3 linked regions of the Coturnix japonica genome follow. The main gene of each other region encodes a partner of the protein of the gene in region 3 in a complex. Links are inferred from orthologs where the notes say so. Each region holds a gene or a part of one and is shown on either strand. Other genes may lie near its edges.

The links.
Region 1: the proteins of NTS (region 3) and SORT1 are in contact, whole or in part, in a crystal structure (PDB 4PO7), measured with the Homo sapiens proteins. The link is inferred for Coturnix japonica from reciprocal best matches to the Homo sapiens genes NTS and SORT1. Residues at the interface, in NP_006174.1 of Homo sapiens: Leu152, Tyr153, Glu154, Asn155, Pro160, Tyr161, Ile162, Leu163; in NP_002950.3 of Homo sapiens: Val112, Ser113, Leu114, Ser115, Trp116, Lys260, Tyr304, Ser305, Phe306, Gly307, Leu308, Phe314, Ser316, Arg325, Ile327, Phe350, Tyr351, Ser352, Ile353, Tyr395, Gly399, Thr570, Gly571, Leu572, Ala573, Trp586, Trp597.
Region 2: the proteins of NTS (region 3) and NTSR1 are in contact, whole or in part, in a crystal structure (PDB 4BUO), measured with the Rattus norvegicus proteins. The link is inferred for Coturnix japonica from reciprocal best matches to the Homo sapiens genes NTS and NTSR1. Residues at the interface, in NP_001095851.1 of Rattus norvegicus: Arg157, Arg158, Pro159, Tyr160, Ile161, Leu162; in NP_001102437.1 of Rattus norvegicus: Ser53, Asp54, Leu55, Asp56, Asn58, Phe128, His132, His133, Tyr146, Met208, Val224, Cys225, Thr226, Pro227, Ile238, Arg327, Arg328, Phe331, Cys332, Tyr333, Ile334, Ser335, Asp336, Trp339, Phe344, Tyr347, His348, Tyr351.

What each region holds. Positions count from the first base shown.
Region 1 is NC_029541.1:1,577,406-1,587,453, reverse strand, and holds the start of SORT1 (sortilin), read left to right. Parts: upstream 1-4,900; 5' UTR 4,901-4,915; coding exon 4,916-5,086; intron 5,087-5,175; coding exon 5,176-5,249; intron 5,250-5,367; coding exon 5,368-5,470; intron 5,471-6,581; coding exon 6,582-6,746; intron 6,747-7,196; coding exon 7,197-7,270; intron 7,271-7,460; coding exon 7,461-7,510; intron 7,511-7,591; coding exon 7,592-7,722; intron 7,723-7,792; coding exon 7,793-7,937; intron 7,938-8,991; coding exon 8,992-9,147; intron 9,148-9,247; coding exon 9,248-9,354; intron 9,355-9,497; coding exon 9,498-9,600; intron 9,601-9,682; coding exon 9,683-9,851; intron 9,852-10,048. Other genes in the region: PSMA5 (proteasome subunit alpha type-5), read left to right, coding at 1,118-1,195.
Region 2 is NC_029535.1:7,370,314-7,380,245, forward strand, and holds the start of NTSR1 (neurotensin receptor type 1), read left to right. Parts: upstream 1-4,367; 5' UTR 4,368-4,709; coding exon 4,710-5,366; intron 5,367-9,932. UniProt on the Homo sapiens protein: G-protein coupled receptor for the tridecapeptide neurotensin (NTS). Signaling is effected via G proteins that activate a phosphatidylinositol-calcium second messenger system.
Region 3 is NC_029516.1:38,339,371-38,349,342, reverse strand, and holds the start of NTS (neurotensin/neuromedin N), read right to left. Parts: upstream 5,889-9,972; 5' UTR 5,652-5,888; coding exon 5,591-5,651; intron 2,546-5,590; coding exon 2,484-2,545; intron 1-2,483. UniProt on the Homo sapiens protein: Neurotensin may play an endocrine or paracrine role in the regulation of fat metabolism. It causes contraction of smooth muscle.

The sequences.
Region 1 (10,048 bases), on a different chromosome or scaffold from region 3:
CTCATTCCTGAGCAGCCTCACAGCTCCTTACAGGCAATGCTGTACAGTGCGAAGGAGCTGCATGTACAGTATCCTTATGGCACGTCCCCATTTGACAGGGCTTAACTGTGCTTGGCAGGGCTCTGAACCTATGGAGGAATCACATCGGGGTTAAGCATGGGAGGAATGTGCTGAGGATTAAAAGGTCACCATTGACTCAAGTCGCCCTTCTGCTTGGGGATCATTCACTCACAGAACCGCTTTGCTTTCCAGCTTTGTGCAGGGCTTTGCTTTTGATTCCCTCTTTCCTGTATGGGGGTTTTTCCCACTTAGCAGCAAAGGGGGATTGGGAACGTGGTGATGGAGAGCTGAACCCATGGGCAGCAATGGAGCCTGAAGCGGTGTTATGCTTTTATATGAGTGATTCCTTGCAAAGGCTGCAAGGGAATGGTTTGGTGGAGCTGTGGTTGGTGTGGTTTGGGATACCTGCAGTGGAGGTCCCATTGTGCCCCATAGCTCAGCCCCATAGAAGCTGGTCATTCACATTGTGCTGGCTGAGGGCACACATCACTCCCTGCAGCACACACACGGGGTGCTCCAGCTGCCATCACAGTGCTGGGTTATCTGTGCATCTCTGTGAGCTCCAGCAGTGCTTGGTGGGAGCCCTGCATGCATTCCTTTGGCAGCGCTGCTGCTGTGCAGCCCTCATGTCCTAGTGATGCGTCCCAGCTGCCTGTGCAGGGCGCTGTGCCCAGCTCTGTGCTGCTGTCACCCCGTCCTGTTGTACAGCAGGTTCCAAGGCACATCCCCATTGAGCAGGAACCTGCAGTTACTGGAGGTGGAGCTGCAGCACGAGGAGCTCCCTTATTACATCGTCCTGCTGGAGAAAGGCCTGAGCTGTCCCCAAAGCCATTCCCTGCTGCTGCTACTATGAGGAGACTGAGTCAATTCAAAGCTATTTCTGCAGCCAGCTGCTATTTTAGGGAATCAAAGAGCGCGGTATGGGCTGCACTGATCCTGCTGTGCTGGCAGATCAGGCAGCAGGGAAGGAACAGCTGCTGTGTCTGTGCTGCTCTGTGTTCCACGCTGGCACTCGACATACATGGGCACGTTTAACCCTTTGCTCCTTGTCTTTCAGCTCGCCACCATAGAGCCGGGCATGAAGTTCCACATGTACACAAAGGAGGAGCTGGAGGAGGTCATCAAGGACATCTGAAAGGGACACGGGCTCCTAAGGCTCATTGCCCCGATCAAAGTGAACTGACTCAGTTCCTCCCACTACCTGCCGCTTGGTTTCCAGCAGCATCTCACAAGGCTCCCAAAGGTGTTTTTTTTATTTACAGTCTGTACATAAACGGATCCTGACAAAGAGGAAGCGATAATAAATCATTTTGTTACTCTGTGCTGGGCTCTGTGCTAAGGGGGGGGGTTAACATGGAGCAGGTGAGGACAGCACAGCACAGCAGGGCTGCAACCCATGGCTCCCTCAACCCATGTCTCCCTCTCGTGGAGGACACAGGCTCCATACAGCCCCATGGCAGCCCCATGGCAGCCCCATGCCATACATGGGCCGTGCCCAGCCCTGCAGGTGCCCCTGGACTTTGTCCTTTAGGATCACACCCCTGTGCCAGGCTCGGGCTGTTGCCCCATTCCCTGCTGTGCTGCTCCTCGCCCTGTTTGTGTCCCCATAGAACAAAAAGCTGATTCTTCCAGCTGTTCTATGCTATAGAATGGTGCTTTGTGCCCTGCTCTGGGGCACGGCACTGCAGCTGGGGGGGTTTAAGGGCTGTCCCTATGGAGATATGGGGCAGCTTCCCCTTGGGGGGCTCCTTTAGGGCCTCTGTGTGTCCCCAGAGCTGCAGTTCTGCCCTAAAACTGCGAGTTTTGCCCCCAAATTGGCCATTGGGACCCCAAACCAGCTCCAAGTTGGGCGCTGTGTCCCCAGACTGGGAGCTGATGACCCACTGGTGCCCCATACTGGGGTTATGCCCCCAAACCCACCATTTATGGCCCCAAACCCACCATGTCTGTACCCCAAACCCACGACTTATGCCCCCAAACCAGCTGTACCCCATAGCCATGCTCTGTGCCCCATAACTATGCTCTGTACCCCATAACCATGCTCTATACCCCATAACCACACTCTATACCCCATACCACGTCTATACCCATAACCCACACTCTATACCCTAACCACATCTTCTATACCCCCATAACCCACGGCTCTATACCCCTAAAACCATGCTCTGTGCCCATAACATGCTCGTATACCCCATAACCACGCCTCTATACCCAAACCACCAACTTTCTATTACCCCATTTAACCACACTCTATACCCCATAACCATGCTCTATACCCCATAAACCATGCCTGTACCCCATAAACCACGCCTCTATACCCCATAACCACGCTCTGTACCCCATAACCACACTCTATACCCCATAACCATGCTCTGTACCATGCTCTGTGCCCCATAACCGCGCTCTATACCCCATAACCATGCCCTGTACCCCATAACCACGCTCTATACCCCATAACCACGCTCTATACCCCATAACCACACTCTATACCCCATAACCACGCTCTATACCCCATAACCACTCTATACCCCATAACCATGCTCTGTACCATGCTCTGTGCTCTATAACCACGCTCTATACCCCATAAGCCATGCCCTGTACCCAACCACACTCTATACCCATATACCACACTCTATACCATAACCCACGCTCTATACCCCTAAACCATGCCCCTGTACCCATAACCATACTCTATACCCCCATAAACCATGCCCTGTACCCAAACCACACTCTATACCCCATAACACGCTCTCTTTACCCCATAACCACACCTCTATACCCCATAACCACGCTCTTTATACCCCATTAACCATGCCCTGTACCCCATAACTACCACTCTGTGCCCCAACCCCACTCCTCGTGCCCCCCCCTCGCCCTGCTACCTGTCGCCTCGACCAATCAAAAAAATCCGCTCTGCCGCCCCCCGCTCCGCCAATCAGCGCGCTGTCGTTAGGTGGATCTGAGCCCATGGCCGGTCGATGAGGGGGGCGGGCTCGCCCCCATCGGACTAAGCACAGCGAGCCAATAGCGAGAGGAGGATGGCTGTGATTGGACACAGAAAGTGAACCAATCGGAAACGCCACCGCTGCGGACGCGGTTAGCCGGCGTTGAGCGACATCCTTAGAACCAACACGCGGCGGGGCGTGGCGAGAGGGGCGTGACGATGGAAGGCATATCCCCCCCGTTAACCAATGGGGTTGTGGCGGACGGGGAGGGGCCGGCGGCCAGGCCGGCGATGCGGGCGCGGCGGCGGCGGCGCCGGAGTCGCCATGGTCCCGCGCGGGGCGGCTGCCGGCTGGTGCGGTTCGGTGCTGGAAGCCCGGCTATTGGGGCTGGTGTCGGTGCGGCCGAGCACCGGCGGGGGGCGGCAGGAAACGGCGGATAAGCGGGGATTGGAGGGGACGTCACGGCCGTGCTGGGAAACACAACACGCAACAGGTGAGCGACGCGGGGAACGGGATGGGGACGGACGGACACCGGCGGTCACGGGACAACGGGACGGGACAAGCGGACACAGAAGCGACCGGCGAGGGGGAGGAACGACAGCGACAGACAGGCACAGAACAACATAACAGACCCGACAGACCGATTAGGACGACAGGGGACAGACGACAGACACCGGACAGACGGACAGACAGACAGGACCGGGCTGTCGGTGTCACCGTTGGACACAACGACACACGTTACAAGCCGGTCCCCCATTCTAACCCCCCCCCACCCCGCGCTCCCCGCAGGGCGCGCCCCGCTCTTGCCGCCCGGCCGGTCGTTAATTGCCGCTAATTGACACCCGGGAGCGGGATGTGGGCCGGTTGCTGCCCGGTGTCCCCCGTCCGTGTCCCCGCTCAGTTCGTTCCGTCCCGTTCTCTCCCTTTACCTTGTAAGGGACGCGCCGCCAGGCCACCGACCGCTGATGCGGGCTCCCCGGACGGCGTGACGGTGGCCGTGCCATTTATTCATCCTTTAGCGTGATCCCTCCCATGCCCCATTGCCGGTCCCCACAGCCATCCCCATATGCATCCCTATATCCATCCCTATATCCCCATATACATCCCTATATCCATCCCTATATCCCCATATACATCCCTATATCCCCATATACATCCCTATATCCCCATATACATCCCTATATCCATCCCTATATCCCCATATCCATCCCCATATACATCCCTTATATCCCCACTATCATTCCCTGATATCCCATATCATCCCTATATCCCATCCCTATATTCCCCAGTATACATCCCTATATCCATCCCTATATCCCCATATAACATCCCCATAACATCCCTATACATACCCCATATCAGTCCCTATATCCGGGGGGGGGCGGTGCAAGAGAGTCGAACCCCATAATACATCCCTATATCCATCCCTATATTCCCATATACATCCCGTATATTCCCAAGAAGCTCCATTCCCTATTTCCCTATACCACCCAATATAACATCCCCACATCCATCCCTATATCCCCATATTACATCCCATATAACATCCATACTATTACATCCCTATATCCCCCATAACATCCCTATATTACATTTCTATATCCCACAATCCATCCCCCAGTATTACATCCTGATCGCCCTATATCATCCCATCATTCCCCATGTGACACAATCCCTATATCGCATCCATCATACAGTCCCCTATATCCGCCATATACTCCCCTATAATTCCCCATATACATCCCTATAGTCCCCATATACAATCCCCACCATCCATTCCTTGTATCCCCATATCCATCCCTATATCCCCATATACATCCCCATATCCATCCCTATATCCCCATATCCATCCCTATATCCCCATATACATCCCCACATCCACCCCACACCCCCTTGATCCCCACATCCCCATGCCCTGTATCCACCTCCCATGGTTGGGGTCCCCCCCTGCCCGTGACCCCCATTCCCTGCTCACACTGAAGGCTGTTCTGTTCCTCCCCATCTCCTTCTCTTTCTCTCAGTGCGTCTTCGATGACCTCAGTGGCTCCGTGTCCCTGTCCTGGGTGGGCGACAGCACTGGGGTAAGATGTGCAGGGGGTGCCGCCCCATTGAGGGGCTGTGGGGGCTGCAGACCCCCCTGTGATGAGCTGAACACGCTGTGATCCCGCAGGTCATCCTGGTGCTGACCACGTTCCAGGTGCCCTGGGTGATTGTGATCTCTGGGCAGTCCAAGCTGTACCGCAGGTATCGATACACCCCCCAGACCCCAATCTAATGTGGGGAGTGGGGCCCTGCAGGCAGTATGGGCTGCTGGGGGGTCCTGGTGGTGCTGACAGCTGAGCCCTGTGCCGTCCCCGTACAGTGAGGACTATGGGAAGACCTTCAAGGACATCACCAACCTCATCAACAACACCTTCATCCGCACCGAGTTCGGCATGGCCATCAGCCCTGATAACTCGGGGAAGGTGGGAGCCCCACACCCTGCCCCAAACCCCCAACCCCAGCCACTGACCCCTACCCATAACCCAAACCCCTAACTGAAACCCCAACCCAACCCCCCAACCACTGACCCCTAACCCAACCCCCCGACTCCAACTGTTAACCCCTATCTCTAACCCATACCCCCAACCCCAACTATTGACCCCTACCTCTAACCCAAACCCCTAACTGAAACCCCAACCCAAGCCCCAGCCACTGACCCCTATCTCTAACCCAAACGTCAAACCCCAACTGTTTGCCCCTACTCCTAACCCATACCCCCAACCCCAATCATTGACCCCTAATCCAAACCCAAACCTCAAACTGAAACCCCAACCCCAGCCATTGACCCCTAACCCAAACCCCCAACTCCAACCATTAACCCCAACCCAAGCCCCCAATCCTAACTATTGACCCCTAACCTAAAACCCCAACTGAAACCTCAACCTAAACCCCCAACCCTAACCACTGACCCCTATCTCTAACCCAACCCCAACCACTGACCCCTAACCCAAACCCCCAAGTCCAACTGTTAACCCCTACTCCTAACCCATACCCCCAGCCCCAATCATTGACCCCTACCTCTAACCCAAACCCTTAACTGAAACCCCAACCCAAGCCCCTAACCGCAGCCACTGACCCCCAACTCAAACCCCCAACCCCAACCATTGACCCCTAACTCAAACCCTGAACTGAACCCCAACCCCAGCCATTGACCCCAAACCTAAACCCCCAATTGAAACCTCAACCCAAACCCCCCAACCCTAACCATTGACCCCTACCTCTAACCCAAACCCCCAACCCCAGCCACTGACCCCCAACTCAAACCCCCATCCCCAATCATTGATCCCTAACCCAAACCCCTAACTGAAACCCTGACCCAAGCCCCCAACCCCAACCACTGACCCCTAACCCAACCCTGAACTGAAACCTCGACCCCAACCCCTGCCATTGACCCCTACCCCTAACCCAAACCCATAACTGAAGCCCTAACCCTAACCTGTCCCCTACCTGTTAATCCAGCCCCTGACCCTCCCCCTGTCCCTGGCTGAGTTTCCCCTGGCGCGGTGCTGAGCGCGGTGCTGTGTCCCACCCCAGGTCATCCTGACGGGTGATGTATCTGGTGGCAGTCGCGGCGGCCGCATCTTCCGCTCGTCTGACTTTGCCAAGAACTTTGTGCAGACGGAGCTGCCCTTCCACCCCCTGGCACAGATCTCGTACCACCCCCAGGACTCCGACCGTCTGCTGGCGCTCAGCACTGATGTACGGACATGGGGGGGGATATGGTGGGGAGGGGGACGTGGTGGGCATGGGGTATGTGGGTGAGGGTAGGGGATGTGATGGGGATGGGGGATATGGTTGAGGTTGGAGGATATTGTGGGGATGGGGTCATGGTTGGGGATGTGATGGGGATGAGGATGTGGTTGGGGATGTAGTGAGGATGGGGACATGGTTGGGGATGGGGTCATGGTGGGGATGGGGGATGTGGTGAGGGAGGGGGAGGTGGGTGAGGGTGGGGGACGTGGGGATGAGGATGTGGTTGGGGATGGGGGACGTGGTGGTGATTGGAGACATGGTTGGGGATGGGGATGTAGTGAGGATGGGGATGTGGTCGGTGATGGGGACATGGTGGGGATGGGGTGTGTGGGTGAGGATGGGAGACATAGTGGGGATGGGGACGTGCTGTTGACCAGTGGCATTCATCACTTACAGAACGGCCTCTGGGTCTCCAAGGACTTTGGGGAGCACTGGGAGCTGATCCACAAGGCTGTCTGCTTGGCCAAGTGGTGAGTGCCCACCTGGTGGCTGTGCTGTGGGGTGGTGCTGCCCCATCTCTGCCCCCATCTCTGCCCCCATCTCTGCCCCCATCCCTGCCCCATCTCTGCCCCCATCCCTGCCCCATCCCTGCCCCCAAGCATTGCCCCCATCTCCTCCCCCATTCAACTGCCCCCATCTCTGCTCTCTGTTCTCTTCCAGGGGTGCAAACAACACCATCTTCTTCACCTCCTACCTGAACGGCTCCTGCAGTGAGTGCCGCCCCTCTGCTTTCCCATGAGGAGCGTGGGGCGCCCCATTAACCCGCTGCCCCTTGTCCCCTTGTCCCCAAGAAGCTGACCTGGGCTTCCTGGAGCTGAAGAAAACCACCGACTTTGGCAAGACCTTCAAAGTGATCGGCACCAAGATCTACTCCTTCGGGCTGGGCGGCCGCTTCCTCTTCGCCTCCGTCATGACCGAGAAGGTGGCTGTCCCCTCCCTGCGTCCCCCCCGTCAGCATACACAGGGCTGGGCTGAGGCTGTGGGTCCCACAGGGCTTCACGCGGCGCATCCACGTCTCGCTGGACCAAGGGGAGAGCTGGAGCATGGCACAGCTGCCCTCCGTCGGCCACGAGCAGTTCTACTCCATCCTGGCAGCCAACGACGACCTGGTGTTCATGCATGTGGATGAGCCAGGAGGTGAGTGGGGCTGGGGGGGGAATGGGATGGGAATGGGACAAGGATGGGGATGGGGTGAGGATGGGGATGGGGATGGGGATGGGATGGGATGGGACGGGGTGAGGATGGGGGTGGAGATGGCGATAGCATGAGGATAAGGTGAACATGGTGATGGGATGGGGTGAGGATGGGGATGGCATGAGGATAAGCTGAACATGGTATTGGGATGGGGATGGGGAAGGTGTGATGATGGGGATGGGATGGGGATAGCATGAGGATGAGGTGAACATGGGGATGGGAAGGTGTGAGGATGGGGATGAGGTGAGGATGGGGATGGGATGGGGATGGGAATGGGGGAGGATGGGGATGGCACGAGGATAAGAACATGGGGGTGGGATGAGGATTGGGGGAGAAATGGGATGGGGATGCAGATGGGGATGGGGATGGCATAAGGATAAGGACAACATTGGGATGGGATGAGGATGGGATGGAGAAAGGATACAGAAGGTGTGGGATGGCACAAGGATGGAATGAGGGTGGAGATTGGATGGGATGAGAATGGGGATGGAGACAGGATGAGGGTGATGTGAGGATGAGGATAAAGTGGGGATAGGATGGAGATGGGATGAGGATGGGAGCAGAGATGGAATGGAGGTGGAGTGAGGATGGGATGAAAATAGGGACGGGATGGGGGTAGGAATGGGGATGAGGATGGGGTGGGGATGAGGATGGGATGGGGATGAGGATGGGGTGGGGATGGTGTTGATGAGGTGAGGTGGGTTTGGGATGGGGTGGGCGCTGTGTGCAGCTGACACACCACATCAATGCACCATGAAAGCTGCTCTGCAGCACAGCGCCCTGAGCCGGGCAGGGCTGTGCCTTTGAGGAAGGACTTTTTCTCATTAATTCCCTCATGAGGAAGTTAATTAACGGGCAGTGGCTGCAGGGAAGCACATTCCTGGCATGGAGCGTGGCCAAGTGTCCACTGGGGGTGGTTTTCTTCCGTCTCCCTGCATGGAGCTGGTGGGTACACGGGGACCCCCCTCCCCATTACCACCACCCCATCGCCCCCCAGACACCGGCTACGGCACCATCTACACATCAGACGACCGCGGCGTGGTTTATTCCAAGTCCTTGGAGCGTCACCTCTACACCACAACCGGGGGGGAGACCGACTTCACCAACGTCACCTCTCTGCGCGGCATCTACATCACCAGCGTGCTGTCTGAAGGTGATAGCTCGGCTCTGGGGGGCTTGGGGGTGAATGTGGGGCTGGGGCTGTTCAATGGGGCCGCGCTGCCAGCCCCGCTGAGCCCCTCTGCTCCCTGCAGACAACTCCATCCAGTCCGTCATCACCTTTGATCGAGGTGGGGAGTGGGTTCCGCTGCGTAAACCCAAGAACACGACGTGCGACTCGACGGCGCGCAGCAAGGAGGAGGTGGCTCTGTCCTGTGTCCCCAAGCAGGGACACGTGGCCCCATTCTTACCCTCCATTCCCTCCTGGGGTGGGATGGGGATGTGTGGGGCTGGGGGTGTGTTGGGCTGAGCCCACCCTGATGCGTTTGCTGCTTGTCCTTGCAGTGCAGCCTCCACATCCACGCGTCCTACAGCATCTCTCAGAAGCTCAACGTGCCCATGGTGCCGCTCTCTGAACCCAACGCCGTCGGCATCGTCATCGCCCACGGTACAGGGGGGGTCTCCACGTCCCCATCCCCAACACTCAGTGCTGCTCTCATTTGTTGTATTGATGCTTTATTTCCCCCCAGGGAGTGTCGGGGGGGCCATCTCAGTGATGAGCCCTGATGTCTACATCTCGGATGACGGGGGGTACACGTGGGCACGGATGCTGGAGGGTCCCCACCACTACGCGATACTGGACTCGGGTGGTCTCATCGTGGCCATCGCACACAGCAGCCAGCCTGTCAATGTGCTGGAGTGCGTGGGGGGGCTGAGGGGCTGGAAGGAGGAAAGGGGGGGTGGGCAGCATAGGGAGGTGGTTCTGGGGGTCCTGGCATGGGGAGAAAGTGGGGGAGTGGGAGTCTGGGAGGTGTGGGGGTTGGGCTGGTGCCAAGGCTTGGAGGGTGGCTATGGGGATTTGGGGGGGTCTGGAGGTTGAGGTGGATTTTGGGGGG
Region 2 (9,932 bases), on a different chromosome or scaffold from region 3:
AGGGCTGGGAAGGCAGATGGCATCCCTGAGAGGCATAGGGCTGCCCACCTGCACTGCTCTAACCTAACTCTAACCCTAACCCTGACACTAATCCTAACCCTAACTCTAACCCTCACCCTAATCCTAACCCTAACCCTAACTCTAATCATAACCCAGCCAGAGCCAGGCTGAAGCCTCAGGGACTGCAGCAAATGCAAACACTCCCCTTGGATTCCTCTGTCTCATTTCACTGTATTTCTTCCTGGGGTAAAACAAGATTTTCAAAGGGAAACTACATGGCAGTGCACAAGCACAGTGTGTTGGGCATTTATATTATATATGAAAACAAAGTGTGTTGCCACAAGGAATCTGATTTGGGCTTGTTGCAGTCACAACTCAGGGGATCCAAAATCTGCTTCTATCTCTGAACTGAAGCAGCTGGTATCTTCTGTGTGTGTCCAGTCAACGCATCTGGCTCTGTCTGAGAGAAATATTGTAATGCCTATAGGCCATCTGTTAATGTTAAAGGAATTTTTGCTAAAGTAAAGGGATGAATCTGAACACCCAGCACGCAGAAGATAAGACCTGTACAAAGAATGCAGACACCTCCTTTCCCAGCTGTCCATTCCCAGAGATTGATCCTTCTTCAGGGAAATTCTCTTACCAACATCACTGTAGGTATCCCAGTGTGCTCTGTTTTCCACTTTCCTATTTTCTTTTAAATCTGTCCAGGGACACAATGCTGGGGTATGAGATCATTGCTCTGTGCTGGGTGTGACCCCTCTACTTTGCCAATGCACACACCAATGTGTTCACACTGAAGAGTCTCAGCAGTTTCCTCTGCTATGAAAATCAGAGGCAATAAATATCCCATGTATCAACAGTTTTGATTTAAAATACTCTCCTGAAATCGTTTCAGCCAAATACAGTAAATAACGTGCAACAGTTGGGAATCCTTTATTGCTTATCCCAACTAGCAATACTTCATTTTGCAATACGCTGGGTAATGCAGTGCTTGTAAGTAATGATGCAGTCAATATTGTAGTCAACAAAGCTGATATATGCCCAATTTTCTATCACTCCTTTCTTCCTTGTGCTCCCCAGGACTGTATCTTACCAACCCACTTTAGACACCCCTGACTTTTAGGGATGCTTGAAGAAGGGAGCACCTGTCCCATTGATTTCAATGGGACCCGACTTTATAGGTTTGAACCAGTAGTCTGCTCTAACAGATATATATGATGGGGAGCTGTGACCTCAGCAAAAGGAGAAGGTTGATGCTGTCATTTAACGTCTGTTTCTTGCAGAGCTTTCTCTTTGCTGCTTTTCATGTCCTTCAGAAAAATCCCACCCGGAGAAATCAGACTGCAATAGGGTTAACATGAAAAATTCCTAGTGGTCCCAGCTGCAAAGGGAAAAGCAAAGAAGAAAAACACTTGGGTCAACATAAAAGGGAGTGAGGCAATCTGGGGGCCTCGTATCCTGGTCACTGTGGGACCCTCAGCTCACAGTCCAGGAAGTTTTAATAGGCAAGGTCTTTAGGTGATATTTTCCTGCAAGATTTTAAGTAAATGCCTTGCTGTAACATTTGAGATCAAGAGCCTGTTGGTTTCCATCATTCTTTTCTGTTCTAAGCCACAGACACACACATACAAAATATATTAAAACGAGCCCAGCTTAGCTAAAAGGTCGTCTAGTTCAGAAACAAACAGCAGGGATTTAGGCTGGAAGCTTTAGCTCACAAGTAGAGAAGGGTGCACCTCCAGCTCTGCTTTTGCTTGAAGGAGGATATGGATTACCTCCCTGCAGGGAGCAGAAGTGAAGGAGAGAAGAGATGGTTTGGCATTCATTTCAATAACCCACACAAGGAGAGGGACTGTGCATATCCTTCAGTGATGCACAAGTAATGGGGACACTAATAGTGTGTTGGGAGATGCTCTCTGCTGGATGGTGTCTTTGCTTGGCACTACAGTTCTGCCCATTCCAAGGGAAGGGTTTTCAAGGCTCAGCTCTGCACCACAGGTAGGTATCCAGCTCTGTAAAAATGATGTGAGGACAGAAGGTAGAACAAAACCTTCCTATAAAGATATGAGAGACGCTGACCCTTTTCCAGCTCCTGATCCACATGATCAGGCTTTCTTTTATTTTCTTCTTTGCTTGGTGACCCGTGCTTCTGCATGGGGAATGGCAAAGCTGCATGTCAGCAGGCAGACTCTGGGAAGGCAGCATACTCAGGCTCAGCTAGGATAAACTGTTGGTAAATTTACCAGCACTGGTGTACATTGGAGAGCCACATCATGATTTCACATCTAGTCACGCACTCATGTTCTCTGATGACTCTACAAGAGGTGCAAGCTAGCTAGTTGACTTGATAGAGGAGCAATGAGTCAATATTCTTGCTATTCAGCCTCATCTGCTAGGAAGAGCTGAAAAACAGGTACCTTCCAATGAGATTTTATGAAAGCGGAGGTTTGGCAATTGACATAAACTGCAGCAGCCTGATGAAGTGCTGATGGTAAATCAACAGCTACATTGATTCCAGGTAGCTGATATTTCAGAGTGCAATTAGAATTCTCTTGTAGCAGCACCTCTGGGTATTCTCTGCCAGCATTTGGCACAGAGAGAAAGTGGAGAAGTTGGTACCTGCAGCACTTGGGAACAGCTGCTGGGACAGAGAGAGGAGATGTAGTATCTTCCTTGTCAGCAGCAGTGCCTGCGTTGCCTGTGTGCAGAAACACAAGGCAACAGAATCCAAAACAGAGCATTTCTAGAGACAGCTATTGATATAAACGTGCACAAACACACTGGAAAATTAGACCAGCTGATGGGTATCTAGTTTATGGGGATAGCAATTGCTTTCCACAAGGCCAAAACGAAGTTACAGGGCTAGGGACAATAACTCTTTGTTATGGACAAGAATCCCAAAGGAACTCTTTCACTGCCTCAGGGAGGAGTGCTTTAGTGCAGAAGCATGGCTTTGGGCTTGGATCACAGGACCATAAGCTACTGTAAATGGGGGGCTAAGGAGTAGGAACATCGGGAACCTGAGAAAAGAGCACAGCCCCCACTGCAGCTGTACTTCAGACAGCAGCACAAGGACATGGAACAGGGGGTGAGAGCAGCTGGGGACCCCAACCCTGACAAATTCCTATATGCTGACAGAGACCTCATAGAAAAAAACTGTAGATAAAAGGAACACTGGTGCTAAGAAATTATTAGTCATTCTTTAAGCCAGTGTGGGATGAATGCTAGAAAACATTTAAATGACTACATGAGACTAAATAAATCTGATTTTGGTCAGCTTTCTGTGGTGACGCTGTTTGCTGGATATAAGAGAAATTTGGGGGAACGTTGGTTGTTGGTGGCTGGCTGTGTAAAGTCCACTGTAGGCATGCAGAGATTATTTGATTGACTGCAGGATTAGATGTCTTGCATCAAACAGATAAGTGGTGTGCAAGGCGTCAGTGCACTCAGAGCCCACCGGTGTTTGGAAACACAACATCTGTCAGCAAATAAATTCAGACAAGTTATGGTTGCCTTCGCCAAATCAGTGGATGGGAAATCCCTGGATGGGATTTCCTAGATCTCTGTGCAATAGTAAAGAGCTTTATCATAAAGACAATCAAGTAAACAGCCCACTGAGGTTTTACAAGACAACATCCAGCTCAGCACCCCGAGCTTGAGAAAGTAACCACCAATAACCCCTATCCCGGGGAGCCCTTTGCTGCAGGGGATCCTTTTATCACCCACAGCATCAACGTGGCATCTTCACACCCCCTGCAACAGAACAGCTCATAGAGGACGGTTCATCCCCAGACTGGAGGATGTGGAGCTAAAGGAAAAGTGACATATGGGGATCAGAGCAAAGCAGCTCGCTGCTGATGTTGCTGAGTTGTAGGGCTGAGAAGTCTCAGGGCAGAGGTAGATATTTTTATGCGTTTTAAATGCATTTTAAATGCATTCCTCCTAGAAGTAGCAGAGTGTGTGGGATGCTCACAGGGCACGGGAATATCCAAGGGTGCACTGCTGGTGTCTCTCATGACTTGGGGATAGAGTTGAAGGGGGTAAATAGGGCTAGGGCACTTTCCTAGTCCCCTGCCAGCCCTCTCCTTACAGCTCTGCCTCTGTGCCTGACTTTGCATGGGATGGAGAAGTGGGGTTCCAACGGGAGAAGGGGGGCCCAGTACCCGGGGCTCCGCAACCTCCTCTCCCCAGCCCATCCTCTCCTCCCCATCGGCTCCAGTTCGGGCGCCGGGCTGGAGCTGCCGAAGCCGCTTGGCGGCGGGGCTCGGGCAGGGGGATCCGAGAGGAGGGGCCGCCTCCGGGGCCGGGGGAAGGCAGTTCGGGGGGCGGCGGTGCGGCGTGTGCCGGCGCGGCTGTGCGAGGCGGGCGGTGGTGTGCGTGTGTGTGTGCGTGTGTGTGTGTCTGTGTGTGTGCGTGTGCGTGTGTGTGTTCAGGGAAGCTCCTGCCGTACCCGGGCACATCTGGGCTCCGGGAAGCTGCAGGGAGGAGATTCCAAAGCTGCGGGCTGCACACAGAGCGGCGAGGCTGCTCCGGCGCTTGTGTCTGTCTGTGTGTCACACACTCACACACGCACAGCAGCCCGGCAGCGGTAGGCGCCTCCTCCCCGCCGCATTAAAACGAGCCAAGTTTCCTCGCTGGGGGCAGCGGTACGTCGGGGCGGGCGGCGGCTCCGACCTGCAGCCCCGGCGGGGCGGCCCGGCCACGGGATGCACCCCAACGCCACGGCCCCGGCCGTGCCCGGCGGCTCCCAACACCTCCACCCCAACGCTTCCAACCGCTCCGACCTGCTCTCCAAAGGACCCGACGAGGAGGATCTGGACGTCAACACCGATATCTACTCCAAAGTCATGGTGACCATCATCTACCTGGCTCTCTTTTTAGTGGGCACCGTGGGGAACTCCATCACAGCGTATACGCTGGTGCGCAAGAAGTCGCTGCAGAACCTGCAGAGCACCGTGCATTACCACCTGGCCAGCCTCGCCTTCTCCGACCTCCTCATCTTCCTCCTCTGTATGCCCATCGAACTCTACAACTTCATCTGGGTCCATCACCCCTGGGCTTTCGGGGGAGCTGTCTGCAAGGGCTACTACTTCCTCCGGGATGCCTGCACCTATGCCACAGCGCTTAACATCGCCAGCCTCAGCGTGGAGCGCTACATGGCCATCTGCCACCCCTTCAAAGCCAAGAGCATCATGTCCCGCAGCCGCACCAAGAAGTTCATCAGCTGCATCTGGATTGCCTCCTTCCTCCTCGCCATCCCCATGATCTTCACCATGGGGGAGATTTATGCTAAGGATCAGGATCCGGATTCCATCATCTGCACCACCATCGTGGACACCTCTACGCTGAAGACAGTCATCCAGGTGAGGACCCCGAGCAGTCGGGGATGGGCAGCTGCCTCCTTCCCCGAGCTGGAAAAACCCAAACTTTGTCGAGGGAAGGACAGAGTGGGTGGGGGAGATAAGGCTGGGGAGCCGGCTTTGGGAAGGGGGGGAGCGGAGCAGCCCCGACAGAACAGAATGGGACAGAGTGTAGGTGAGCTCTGTAGTTTGATGGGTGGGGGGATGTCGGCTGTGTTTGCTGTGCCCCATACGGCTCCTGCCCCCCAGCGCCAGGCTGAGCACCGGGGTGAACCCCACAGTGAGATAATCTGGGCCCCGGGATACGGCAACAACCCCCCCCCATCCGAAGCAGTTGTCCCTGCTGCCCGCACACAGCCTGCCCTGTCCCATAGCGGGGCTCTCTGTCCCACATCGCAGGGATTTGCATGCAGAGATCCTCAGCCTCTCTTTACACCCCCTCCCCTTCGGCTGGAAAGGGATGAGCAGCATCAGGGCAAATAAACCCATCTTTCTGCTCCACTCTCCCTCCCAGCTTCTTAGGATGACCCACAGCTCATTTCATCTGTGAAGTAGCAGACTGATCTCAGAAAGTTTTGGGCAGCCAACAGGAACAGCAACTGCAAAGCTGGCAGCTGCTATTTTGGCTGTTTGGAGAAAATCATAGCTGGTCTAACTAGTGGCCCCCTCCCCGACTTCAGAAAGGCTTTGCTGGTCTCCATGCACTGCTTAATCTAACACTCCCATGAGTGGAAAGGATTTCAGCATCACCACTCACAGCACTCTGAGGGGTTGAGGCATTTGTTCACTGGAGCATTAGGCTTGAAAAATGTAAGAGAAGTGGAAGGAACGGCAGAAAGAGCCTCCAATCTCCATAGCTCCTTTGCCTCCAGGCTTACGTATGATAGCTTCTCAGACTTCTATATGAAACATGAATTTCAGGTGGGTCTAATCTGGAGCCAAAAGCCTTCTAAATGTTCCTGCAGGTAAAGAATTTAAATGGAAACAATGATTTCACCCTCTAAAAGTGGGTGAGGATACAGACAGGAGTAAGCCCACAGACTGCAGATGTTACTGGATGTCTCTCTGAGTTTCCCACTGTGCTACTGCTCCAGTGACCAAAATCCAGCCCCAGTAGAAGCTCTGAATTCCCTCCGAATTTTGTCTTCACACCTAACTTTCACTTTCAGATCATGGAGGTTGTTTCCCCTGTAGCTTTATAGCTTTTCTTAGAGGCAGCCCAGTGTGCTTAACCCAAATTCTCTATTCTCTAAGGAGGAGTGAGCCGTCTGATTTAAGAACAATGTGGCTGGAATGCATTATTTCTACTTATCTTCCTTTAAGGATTAAACCCATGCTTTGTGTTAACACGATAGAGCTGAGGATAGATTATTTCCTAGCCATGTCTATGGAGATTGAACAATTCTCAACATATTTTACAGTCTCGCTGTTATTCAGGATCTACCTTATCCTGTTACCCGAGTAAAAGACAGGCAGACATTAATGCATTGTGTATGAAGTTTGCCTGTGGCCTCTTCCTTACATTTTTTATCATCATTTCACTTGTGAATGTACTGAAAGTAAAAGGAAGGAGGCAGCTGTGGGGGAGGCAGGGGAGCAGAATACTTTTCCTTCTTGGGAACCTGGCTACAAATGTAGATTTGTTAAGATAGGAACTAATATCATGGCTTGGGGCTCATTCCTCAGCACCCAACCTGAAGCAGGGCCCTGGGTCAGTGAGGGCTGCAGAGTGAGTAAGCAAAGCAGCTGCAAGTCGGGTTTGAAGTGCATTAAGGGAAACCATTGCACAGCGTGTGATCGAGCATTCTCATGTTGTAAGCTGTGCAGGGGTTTTAAAAAAACCCAACGAATAATGGAAGACCTGTGAAGGAAAGGGCAATGGTAATGCGTGAGAGTGATGCACAGAGGTCCCACAGTTCAGATATCCAGAGCCCTTGAGTTGTGCAGAGGGCTGAGGATGCTTCAGAGCAGGTCTCTACATCTCTTTCGTTCATTTTCTGCTTTTAAATTAATCAGAGCAATGATACATTTGCTCGAGCTGGCGAATCTATCGTATTAAATCACTCAACATATTTCGCTCTTCCTGTTTGGCCAGCTGCCTAAAGTAAATTGGGATTTTTTAAATTCTTTTTTATTTATTTATTTTTTTGAATCCATCGGTTCTCCAAGAGGTTTCATTTGGTGAGTAATTGCAAGCCAGGCCCTAAACACAGCAAATGTAACCATTTATAGACTCAGAGCTCAGTGCTCACACTGCGGAGCCCAGGAAGATGTCCCTCCTTGGGTTGGAGCCACCTCAGAGTGAACACTGGACGTTCTCATTGAAGGCTCTTTCTGACAAAGTTTCTGACTCTTTGCTTGGAGTCTTTAAGGTCTGATGGACATCCCCAAAGGGAACTGCACTGTGTGCACAACTAAGTTTCCTTATAAAAGGGAACAAGAGTTAACCATTCAAACAACACGCCACACACACAATTTCTGCTCATATTAACACGTACCACTTGATCTGCGCAACTCTAAGAAGTAATTACTGGCATTCCTCTAGTAATTACAGATTGCTCAGTGCAGCACACTGCTAAGCAGGCAGAGCAACACATGTGTGCTCTGTGGGGTGTCACCCATCAGCACCATGGGGTGCTGAGCATCCCTCCTTGTGCCATCACGGCGTGAGCTCCGTGCGACCTCTGGCATTTAATTCCTTACAGCAGCTCTGCTTCCCAGCTTTGTTTATCAGCAGCCTTGCAGCTGCTGAAGTCAGGCTGGTTTATTCTGTTCTCCTCAGTGCCAAGCTTGCCTGTTCCTTCTGTCTGTTAGGGGTGTCTGGTTTGGATGCTGGCATCGTTTTGGGATCTGGTCACAGGAATAAGTCCATTATAGTACATCATTTAGGTCTAGTTAACACTTTAACTGGCACACATCCTCTAACACATGCTGCAGCCAATTTTATGGTGGGTTGTTTTTTTTTCATACAAATTAAGCACCTCTCGAAGCCATTTCCATACAAGTAAATTAATGTTTTCATGCCACTTCAGCTGGAGGAGGTTATAACAGCTGCTCTTTATGGTACCACCAGATAAAAGAGCTGTGAGGCAGAGCGACATGTGGGCTCTGCTCCCCTGCGGGTCAGCACTCGTGCTTTTGGCTGCTTGTGGTTCTGCTCTCAGAACAGGAGACCCCTCAGTGACTGCCCCACATCCACCAGCATTCACTGTCCATCCTGTTCCAAAAGGACCTAAATTTTACTGTCTGGGTGGCAGTGCAAATACTGTTTTCCTTTAGTGCCATGGTGCAGCATAACCCAGAATGTCCCCCGGGCTCTGACTGGGCCACCTGCAGCCTTTTAGCCTCAGTAGGGTGGTTCAGGTTACCCCTTTCCAAGCCTTTGCTGTTTGTATTCCTGTGTAGGGTGTCTGATACACGCTGGTGGTTTATCCCCACTCTTGTGTGGCTGCAGCTCTCCCACCCTGCAGGTCCATTATCTGTTGTTTTATGAAGTCTGCTCATGGTACAGTAAATAACACAGCACATGAAATAACAGGTACTCTGCTTTATTTTCTCTTGCATTGAAGTAACGTGCTGAAAGGCTTCAGATCTGATGGGATAAGAAGGAGGGAGCAGACACTGGGGCTGAGGATGGAGGAGCTCTTTCTTGCGTGCAAGATCTCTCACACAAGACAGCTGGCCTGAACGCTTCCCTGGCCCTAAGCATGATTCCAAGTTCACCTATTCAACCCCCATTTATCCAAGGGGCCCAGCATCCCACACACAGTATTGCAAACACTCTTTTACACCTTTTCCAGTGAGGACATGTGGCAAGATGCCTGGCAGGTCCATGGGGCCCTGAAAATAAACCTGGCAAGCGTCTCTTCATAGCACATGAAAAGCAGCAATGAGTAAAACCAAAGGGCTGAATTCTCTCCATATTTGCTGGCATATCGTATCCAGGATTAGTCAATGGCTTCAGTTCAGGAATTCTGCGTTCATTCTAATGCTGGCTAGAGGAACTGAGGCTGGTCTCTTTTCCTTAAGTCACAGCCAAATTCCTGCTATTGCTTTTACTAGGAGGGCTGTTTTCAGTCACTTACATGGTGATAATCCTACCCCTGGAGCCTGGCTGATAAACTGTTATGAATAGATAAAGGTACAGGGTCTCTGCCCACCAGGGAAGCCCACTCAGCAGCAGCACAGATCAGCTCCTCTGTGGCAGGACTATGTCTGATGCAAGGTTTTAAAAGTCCCTCATACCACAGACTGCACAGGTGTCCATAGGACTTTAATCCAGCAAACTCAGCCCACCCAGTCCCAGGCCATTTACACATGCTCCATCGTACAGCTGGATCTGACTTGAGCAAGCTCCTGTGTTTGTTGCTTTACGTAACTGCTTGGCCTGCTGCGTTCTGCCAGTTCTTACATAATTTCTTCTCTTTCTTCCCCCCCAATTGATTTTAATTCACTTGATATTTTTTCCCTCTCCAACCCCCTTCTCGAGTTGTCAGCTGGAGGGAATCAAAAGTGAGGAAACATGGCCAATCAATTCAGCTCTTATGTTTTCCTCTTAACAGCGCCTTG
Region 3 (9,972 bases):
GAAATTCTTAGGCAGCTGCAGCCTCATCTGCCTGATACGAAGGCTAAACTTTCTAGGTATATACAGTAAGGAACAGGAATTCAAGCTCAGAGAACTCAAGATTCCGTAAAATTCATGTAAGTAGGAATCTCAAATGTGTATTCTGGTCATGATGATTCCTTCAATTAACTTTTTTTTTTTTTTCCCTCTTGAACTAATAGCATTTCAGTCTTGTTTGAGATCAAGATGGCAAGATGTTCTTCATGCAAATGGTAGATTCATGTTAGCACTAAAGAAGCTGGGAGTAGATCTATCATTTTGATGCAAAAGACAGCAGGAAATAATTTGTATATTTGTGATACTTCAGGTTATCTTACTAAATCTTCAAAAAGGCTCTTTGGACTTTATCTTAGAAGATAGATATATAAAGCTTTTTATGGTCTTGCTTGATTCCTGTATCTTCTCCAAGGTGTAACGGGGAGAAAAGTGATAAGCTATATTAAAAGTTGAATGCAGTTCATGAAAGCATGAATGCAAATTTTTAAATATGGAGAGATATTCAGCACATGGGTGACTTTAAAGAGTAGTTTGAAAAAGACCAGAAGACACTTGTCAACAGTCTGTGAAGTCAAAAGAATACAGTAAAAAAAAAAAAAAAAAGGCCATAATATTGCATACATTTGATACCATACTTCACAAGTAGCTACATAGCTAGAAGTTTTCTGTGAAATAGCAGAAACATAAGTGATTTGAGAACCACTGAGTCTGTTTAAATTGGCTGGATTTCCCTTGCTGTTGATTATCAAGTCAGTGTTAAATATGATTAATACAATTTAATGGTAATTGCCTTCAGCTGGAGACTAATCTCAGGCACAAAGCCAGTCAGGTATCATAGTTGCCATCCTAAAATTAGTCTTTAGATCAGAACCATGGTTCTGTTCTAATGAAGAGTAAAAACTAACGGAGGCCAAATAATAATAATAATAATAATAATAATAATAATAATAATAATAATAATAATAAATTATTTCAGTAATGAATGGATCTATGTCTTGTAGTTTCATACACCTTCTTAGTGGTTCCACTATGCCTTTTACTGTCAAGAAAGAGTACATTTTATACTAGTTAATTTGAAATAATGATTTAAAATTCTATCATTTAGAATTAAAATGTCTCCATTATCTGTTGTTTATATCAACCTCAAGTGTCAATTCACTTGCAGTATATATAACATAAAGCCATTAAAAAGTAAGTTACACGATGTAAAACAACACGTAATAGTATATAACAAACATCTTTGTATTATCAACAGGTGCACTGTATTTCAGCATTTTTAGTTACCTGAGATTGTACTCTATGGTAAAAGAGAAGGAAAGATGGAAGTGGAATTTACAGTCACAGTCCGACTCAAATCAGTAGCAGCAATAGAATAGCTGCAGGGTTTTTTTCCCAGGGCATATTATGGTTTGGCAGGCAGAGAAAGAACTATTTAAAGAACATTAAAATTTGTCTCTGGGAAATAATCTCTATTAAATCTTTCTTTAGAGAAGCCAGTGGCAAACAGGTTTGTTTGTGATCTTTATGCCAGTAAAGAATGTGGGAACTTAAGAACTGACAGATCAGACTAGAACAATGTATTTTTCAGCCTCATTTCTTATCCTGGTTTATTCAAATGATACTGTGAAAAAGCTCACATACAAAAAAATACAGAATATACATAATTTTATTTACCAGTGAAACCAAGCACCAAGCATGAAATCATTCAACTTGAAGCTTATGAATCTTGTTTTGGAGCTTTTTCTTCAAAGTATTGCTGAAGAAACACTAGACATACATATTTCTTAGATCATTTGTGGAAAATAACAGTGCTGAGAATGTGTCTGTCAGCCTGTTCAATACATATGTGCAACACTTGCTACTTCACCTACGTTAGTATGAGTTTGGAACAGAACTTTTGTCTACTTGTTTTAAATAACATCTACATCATTCATAGTCTGGCTACTTGTCAAGGAAATGTCATTTACCAGATTAATAGTTTCATAGTCATGCCCCCATGTTCTTGTACTAACATTATAATGAAATTCCTAAACCAAAATCAGCATATGTATTAACAGATTTTGCTTTATGACTGTCATAATTTTATATGCACATAGAAAAAAAAGTTCTGCATAAAAATCTCACTTAGAGATTTGTCTAAAGGTTAATTTAGCTTTCAGCAGGCATAATCTTATTGGGAACACATTTCTTCTTATAAATTCATCCCTCTACACATTTTCGACAGTTTAATGGAAGTATCAATGTTATACGTGAGGAACACTTTTTGTGTGTGTCACATCAACACCTTTAAATTTCCTTTGAACTGACAAAACCTTGCACCAAAGCAATGTCTAGCACTGAACTTTCAGGTCTGGACCACAAGTTATTACTTTGTGTAAAGACTTTCAGGTTTGTAATGAGAATTCATTTGCTTTCTAACTATCAACTAAAAGAGAAAAAATAATTACCTTTGATGTATACATATTGGTCAATAAATCTGTTTCTAGTGCTTTCATTTCCTCTTCTGAATCTGGGAATAAACCAGTAACATATGTTCATTATCTTATCGTAAATCATGGACATCTGAATTGAACAAACAAAATATAGATAGACAAACGAGCTGGGGCAGAGGAGGGAAACAGAAATAAAAGTGGATTCACAGCAATGTGTTCTAATGTGACTATGAGATTTTTGGTACCAAAACTGTATTTTGAAATGGATCTTCACTACGTTTCAGTGCACAATCAAGCTTATTAACATAAACGAAAGAATTCACTGTCAACCCCTAGACAGGCCCATTAATCTTCAGCTGTTTCAGTACAAACACTGGTGCAACTTTCTTCATTCAAAATCGGTCTGATTTTCATAATTACTACCCGCCACCTCTACTAACTAACAGTTACTTAGCTGCTGTTTTTTGGGAGCAATCACAATCTTTCTCAACTTGGATCTTCAAGGTGTTTTTAAATGGTGACCAGCAAACTAATGTGAAGTTACCGTGTCTCTGCTATAGTCTATTGGATATAAGCCATTCTTCTGGAAACTCCATGAACATTTATTTGGTGAAGGGCTATGCTCAGATCTATTAGACTGTCTGTTTCTGTCTCTGATCTAGTCTACTCTCACACAATAGCCATCTATTCACTAAGTCACTGATCTCAGCCCAGTACAGCAAGGGCAAGTTCAGAAGTCTCAGTTCTTAACCACCTTTATGCTTACCACTTGCTAAGGAAGTAGCTTTCTGCAATATTTTTGGCTTTTGCTACTTTCATATCTGAAAAATCTTGGCATCCCCTAATTCAAGTAAGGTCAGATACTATCACCACGTTCTTTGTCTCCTCAGACATTTTTATTGGTTGTGCTTCTGCTAAAAGGAGTTTTTAATAGAAGTGAATATTATTTCCTAAACAATCACTTTGTATAGTTATACTGCTTTCCATTTGTATTAAAGTCACCAAAAAATGTCTGTGCCTTATGTCAGTCTTCCTCTGTAGTGATGCTGATGTTCAGCTTTGTATTACCAGTACGCTACACTTACTGTTTTTACTTAAAAATTGTTACTGACAATATTGGTAAAGACTGGACAGCAGTAAAGTCACTAGTAACAGCATGTCACTAGCAACTTCTCTAGAGCCTAATGCCTTTCAGCCATTTCAGCACTACTTGTTTTCAGGATTACCTAGTCTCTCAATAGCTTCATCAGTGATGAAGTTCTTTCTGCTGGCAGCACAAGTTCACCTCAGATAAATTTTGACTACTGATAGTAGGTCTTGCAAATGAGTGAATAGTGCACGCATGACAGCATCACAATTTGTTGTATTCTGTAGCAATGAAATGATTCGCATCTAGTTAGAACCCTGTAGATAGAACAGAACGTAGTTTCCCCACCACCAAGGGTACAAGACAGATGCAGAAGTGGAAAGCTTGCTGAATAGATGATTATTAAGAAACATTTTGAATGAGAAAAGAAGTCTGGAGGATATTACTTAGGAAACTGTTCATATGGTGAAGAATGAAACAAAGCCTGGAGGAAAAGGGAACATATTCAGATAATTCAGGAGTGAAAAAGACAGATGATAGGTAAAAGCAGAAGAAGAGCAAATATTCAAGAGAGCAATCTGGTTACAGATTATTGTGCAGATCTGAGGAAAATCCACACACTTTGCTGTCTTTTTTATGCTTACCTTATTATCGATAGGAAATACAGCTTCTTTCTGTATATTTACATTCTACAGAAATAATTGTCTTCTATTAGAACACACTTTCCTGAGGGCAAATATTTTCAAAATAAAACGAAAATGATTGATCATTTTCCTAATGACTTAACTGTCCACATCAGTAAAAACTGATTTGGCTTTTCAGCACAAACTTCTCTATGACATTTCTCATTCAAATATAATTCCAAATTTCTGAACAAATGAACCATCATGTCAGTTACACATTCAATTTTGCTGGTTTTATATGAGTCTATTTTAATTTCCACTCAAATCTTTGACTTTAGTGTTTCATGAAATTTAAATTGCCTCACTGAAAATATGAATCATGGTTTTGCTTGAAAATCTACATATACATGTATAAAAAATAATAAACTTTAACCCTGTCCCTAAGAACACCAGCCCTGTAAAGTACACAAAATGATTATGCTTAAGCCACGACAAAATTCAAATTTAAATGTGTTACATTTTGTTTCTGTGGAGAAATGCACATTGGAAACTTGCATCCAAAACAAGGAGTTCTGAGTCCTCCTGGATACTTAAGCTGAAAAATTAATCTAATTGTAAATCTACACTTTACCTTTACAAGAAACAGCAATTTGTACACCAGTGAGACTGGATTTTGAAGCTTATTCTGCTATGCATCTGTCACTGTACACCTGCTTATTTGCCACAATTCTTTTCTTTTATTATTTTAATCCTAAACTGATTATCTAAATAACACATTCTTAGCTATATCACTTTCCAAATGACTTGGTGGTGCATTTTCAGATATGACCCTATTTTTTTTTTTTGTTTCTAAATCAACTGATCATAGAGTAGAAATGCACTTACATCTAACACAAGCATCTTTGTGACCAGCATTTGGTCTTCATTTTGAAATCATTAGTAGTGATTTTTTTCCCCCCAGAATCCTAAACCTGTACTTCAGCTACTAAAAAGTGTCTACAGTACATATATAGTAATGCTGAATTGTACTCTGATGGAAGGAAGAAGAAAACACAGCACCTGTGATAGCCTGGAAATACCCGGGATTCAAATATCACAAATGCAGCAACAAAATTAATGGGACAGTCTACATCGACGTTTCTCAATGACCACTCTGCACTAACAATCGTGGTAGCGATGTTGCTGAGGGGAATGGTTTGCAGATAGGGCGTAAATTACGGGAGTGATGGACAACGTGATGCTGGACAGAGCCCACTCGGTGCGAGCCGTGGGCGCCCGCAGAGATCAGCAGCCTCAGACCGAGGTGAGCGCACCCCGCCCCGTTTGGTCTCGCTCGAGGCTGCGGGAGCGGCCGGCCGCGTGGTGCTGCCCGCCGCACGGAGGCACGGGGCGCAGGGCGCGGCAGGGCTTACCTGAGCAGAGGCTGCAGGAGGCCAAGGCCAGCAGCACCACGCACACCAGCTGAGCTTTCATCCTTGCCGCGCCGCTCTCTAGAAAGTAAAGTCCATAAATCCTGGGGAGAGACGGAGAGAGAGACAGACAGACACACAGAGAGAGTGCCGCCGCTCCGCGCCTCAGCACACGCACTAGCGGGCAGCAGCAGGCACCAGATGGGGGACCCGGACCCTTCCCCAACTATATAAGCCTCAGGGTGATGTCACGGCTGTGCAGCCATCGCCTCATGATGAAGTGCCCTCCCCCCTCCCCCTCACAGTCCCCCCTCCCCCTTCTCCTTCCCCCCCGCTCACGCTGCTCCCCTCCGCCGCTCCGCGCCCGCTGCCGCTGACGCCACCTCCCGCCTGACGCACGCGGAGCCCCGCGGGGCGCGTAGCGGGGCGCTCAGCATCCCCACTCCCACCCACGCACCGGAGTGCTCGTATCCCGGCAGTGACCTGCCCGTCGAGCTCGAAAAGCCCCCAGCTACAGATATGATAATTACTTATGAACAGCAAAAGTTTCCGCAGATGCTCGGACACCTGCGTGTGGGATGCGCCGGGTCACGGGCTGCGCAGAGACGCGAACACGTCGTGCGGCCGTCGCGGGATGCGCTTTATCGTCGGTTTGGCTTTCCCTGCCGCGTGGGGAAACACGGGGAGGGGAGTAGAAGGGGGGGCACAGCGGATAATAGAATCAAATGAAGTCTATGTGAGAGCGAGAGATAACGGGAAAGTCACTTGATAAAGGTTTTTCATAGGTGCTAAGAAATGCTAACGTCTGCCACAATCAGACTACCCGTTCCGAAAAGAGAGACAACAGCTGCTGTTTCAAGGAGAGTAAGCTCTCCCTCAAGACATTCATCCTAAGGTGTAAGTGTTCTGCTTGAATTTCACAACATTGGTAACACAACCCAGTAAGAGCGGGCTCCGCGGTCAGCGCCCAGAGCGCACGAAGGTGAAAGCCGTGGGGCACCGCGGGACGAAGTGGAGGCAGCACGGGGCGGACGGCCCTGCACCGGGACGGTCGAGGTGGCAGCGAGAGGCTGGGAGCTGTCACGGACTGTCCCGGTCTCTCCTCTGCCTCCTAGAGATCGGTAGTAAAAAAAAAAAAAACAAAAAAAGGCGCGGAAATGGTCTGAAGTAGAGGGTAGAGCAAGTTAATCTTTAACGTGGAGTGTGCATATGAAAAGATAAAGACAAGCAACAGCCTCCATCGCGGCGCTGCTCATAGCGTGATTTGTCTCAGATACAGACAAACGCTCCATCTGTTGAATGGAGATATTACAATGCAGAACATTTTGGTTCCTGTGAATACATTTAAGTACGGATGCACATGCCATATATAGCAGGAACGCACTGGTAGAATTCTGATTGCGTGAAAGTTCTCTTTGCTATAGAAAGTTTCCTTTGAAATACAGTTATCCTTTTCTACGTTATCTGCCTGTCTATGCCATGAAACTGATACTTCAGAAGCAGGAAACCTGCAGAAGTTTCAAAACCCTGCTGCAGGGAACAGCCAGTGGGAAGAGTTCTTCCTTCTTCCCTGGATCAACTTTTGTAGCAGGATAAAATTTAAATTTGTAATTTTGTTGTTGTTGTTTGTTTGCTTGTAGATGCATAAATGCATGCAAAAATACAGCTGAGTGCATTCCAGTGGTATTAGCTCTGGGTTGGTTTGGTTTTTTTGTTTTTTTTGTTTGCTTTTTTTTTTTTTTTTGCATACTGATGGGAACACATTTTCTGCCTTACTAAGAAGGAAAGAGAAGAAAAGAAAGACAAGGAAAGGGAAGGAAGGGAAGAGAGGGTGGGAGGAAGAGAGGGTGGGAGGGAGGAAGGAGGAAGGAAGGAAGGGTGGAAGGAAGGGTGGGAGGGAGGGAGTATATATCACATTGTGTGGACTGTACTAGTGTGCCATTAAAGTTTTAGCTACAGCTCATCTGCCTTAGCACAGAGGTTAGATGGCCACTCACATTCCCCTCCAGTCCCATTTTCTATTATTTCCGTGATGTAGAAAGACCAATCTGCAGCTGATTTTGCTCTGTGGGTGTTCTGCAGTTCAGGCAGCTCTATGAATGAGAATCATATTTCATAGGTATTTTCTAGTGCCTACTCTCTGTCACAGATTTCCTCAATAGTGTAATTGCCCATATACTTATGTAACTGGAATTTACAGGAATGACGTTTTATTTTTTCCTCAGGAAGAGAACAATTGCCAGTTTCCCTCCCATTAAAAAAGATCACCTAATTGGTTTAAAATAAAAAATAATAACCATGGAATTCTAATATTCGTGATTCCGAGGAAATGACTGTATGTTATATTATGAGACATAATATTTCTTATAATTGCTTTGTTTTCACCTGCTTAGTTTTTGTCTTTTTTTTTTCTTTTTCTTTTTTTTTTTTTTTTTCCCCCCCAATAGAAATGTAAAAGCAGAAACTTCAGTATTAAAAATCTTCGCTTTCTTATCATGTTGAATGTTCTTCACATATTATCTTTAGATGCTTTGGATTAGGCACAACTGAATTTAGACAATTATATATATATATGTATATATTTTCCTCAGTAGAATTGAACTATCTTCTATTTCCTCAGTATTCCTGTATTTTCTTTTTTCTAACTCTTTCCTGCTTCTGTAGCTTCTTCTGTTCCTTACATACTAGTATTTTTTAAGCCTTTTAATAATTAATGCCTTAAATCACCTTGACTTCTCCAAGTCATCTTCATTGAAGCTTTTCTTGATGAGAAAGTTTGCTCTTGCAAAGGAATGTCCCAGAAAAGCATTTATAAGGAAAACAAATTCTTCTTAGAACTCTTTCTCTCCCTCTTTCTTCCTAAGTATTTCTCAGCTAGAGAAAACATGTGTAGCTCTTCATTAGTGTTGGTCCACGTGGGAATCTCACATTATCTGCTTGCCCTCAACATGTGATTTAAACAGTCTATCAATACCCACAGATCATCTCCATTCACAACTGTGAGGCATCTGAAGATAGTGAAACAATCAGGCAACTGGTAGATTCATTAAAGAACAGATACATGAACCTTAATTTACTTTACTTCATCACTGGAACCTAAAACTACCATCTCTACATGCAGATGACACCTAACACAAAAGATGTAAGCACCAAAGAGAAGAAAACCACTCCGCCATAGAAGATACTGGAGACAATAATAAGGAAGAGTCGTTGTTTCTAGTTAACAGTCTTATGCCTTAGAAACAAAAACAGGCACAGTGAGAATAAATGAGATACAATTCAGGCCGTTTGTATTTTGATATTAAATGTATTAATTTGTCTGAGATTTTTGTGTTTGTGTGTGTTTTTTGTATGGGGGAGAGGGATGTTGTATTCAAACCTTGCAGGAGGTATAACAAGTATGGAACTGGAAGATGAACCATTCAAAATTCATTCACCTAAGAGTTATTTCACAAGACAAATATTTTAAACAGCACACTGGCTCAAGGTGCTAGTTCATCATATCAAATGCAAATGTAATTGATTTAAGCTGCTTTGCCCCTACAGCAGTTTGGCTACCAGCAGTTTAAGGTAATTTGCTTGATAGAAAACTGGTAACATTAATTTCTATCATGTCGGCTCAAGCAAAGTAGAAGAGCATCTGAAGCGTAAGGTAGACAATGTATATGAATTTCTCAGGTAGTTCAAGTCTGCAGCATCACTTTCTTTGGCACAAAATACGTCTTGGGTTTTTCATTCAGTTTAGTCAGGACAGTAATGCTCAGATTTTAGCGCTGTGTTCATATGCTTAAAATCTTAAGACACTGGAGACCATCTGTGCTACTGATGACAATATCATAAAATAACTCAGAAGTCAGGGAAGACATTTCACACACTGGATCATTCCTAAGTAAATAAAACATTAAGCATCCCCTCTATTCTAAATTCCCTCTCCTTCAGGCATTCTGTCATATGATATTTGAAATTTGTGAGGTTGTGCACTTTAGGGAAACATTAAAGAACCAATAGAATAATACTCAAATTTACTGCTGTAGAAAACAAACAAACAAACCCTATAAGCATTCATGTTATTGTCTGAATCAGATTTTATTTTTTAAAACACAGCAAATCTATGACATATTTTGCAAAGAGCTGCAAATCAGCACAGATTTGTACACATCTTATGGCTAAGAAATTATTTCTTTACATTTTAAAGTTTCAGTGTCTGAAACTGCGAATGTGACACTGTGCAGCCTCTACATCTGAGGACTACATGTTTGGCAAGGCTTTTATTCACGATACTTTGACATTTCAAACAGCAACAACATCTTAGTACCCCCAAAGGCCCACAGTTCTCCAATCACAGGACATTTTAGGTGTTATCATCTCAACAGAATGATCTAAAG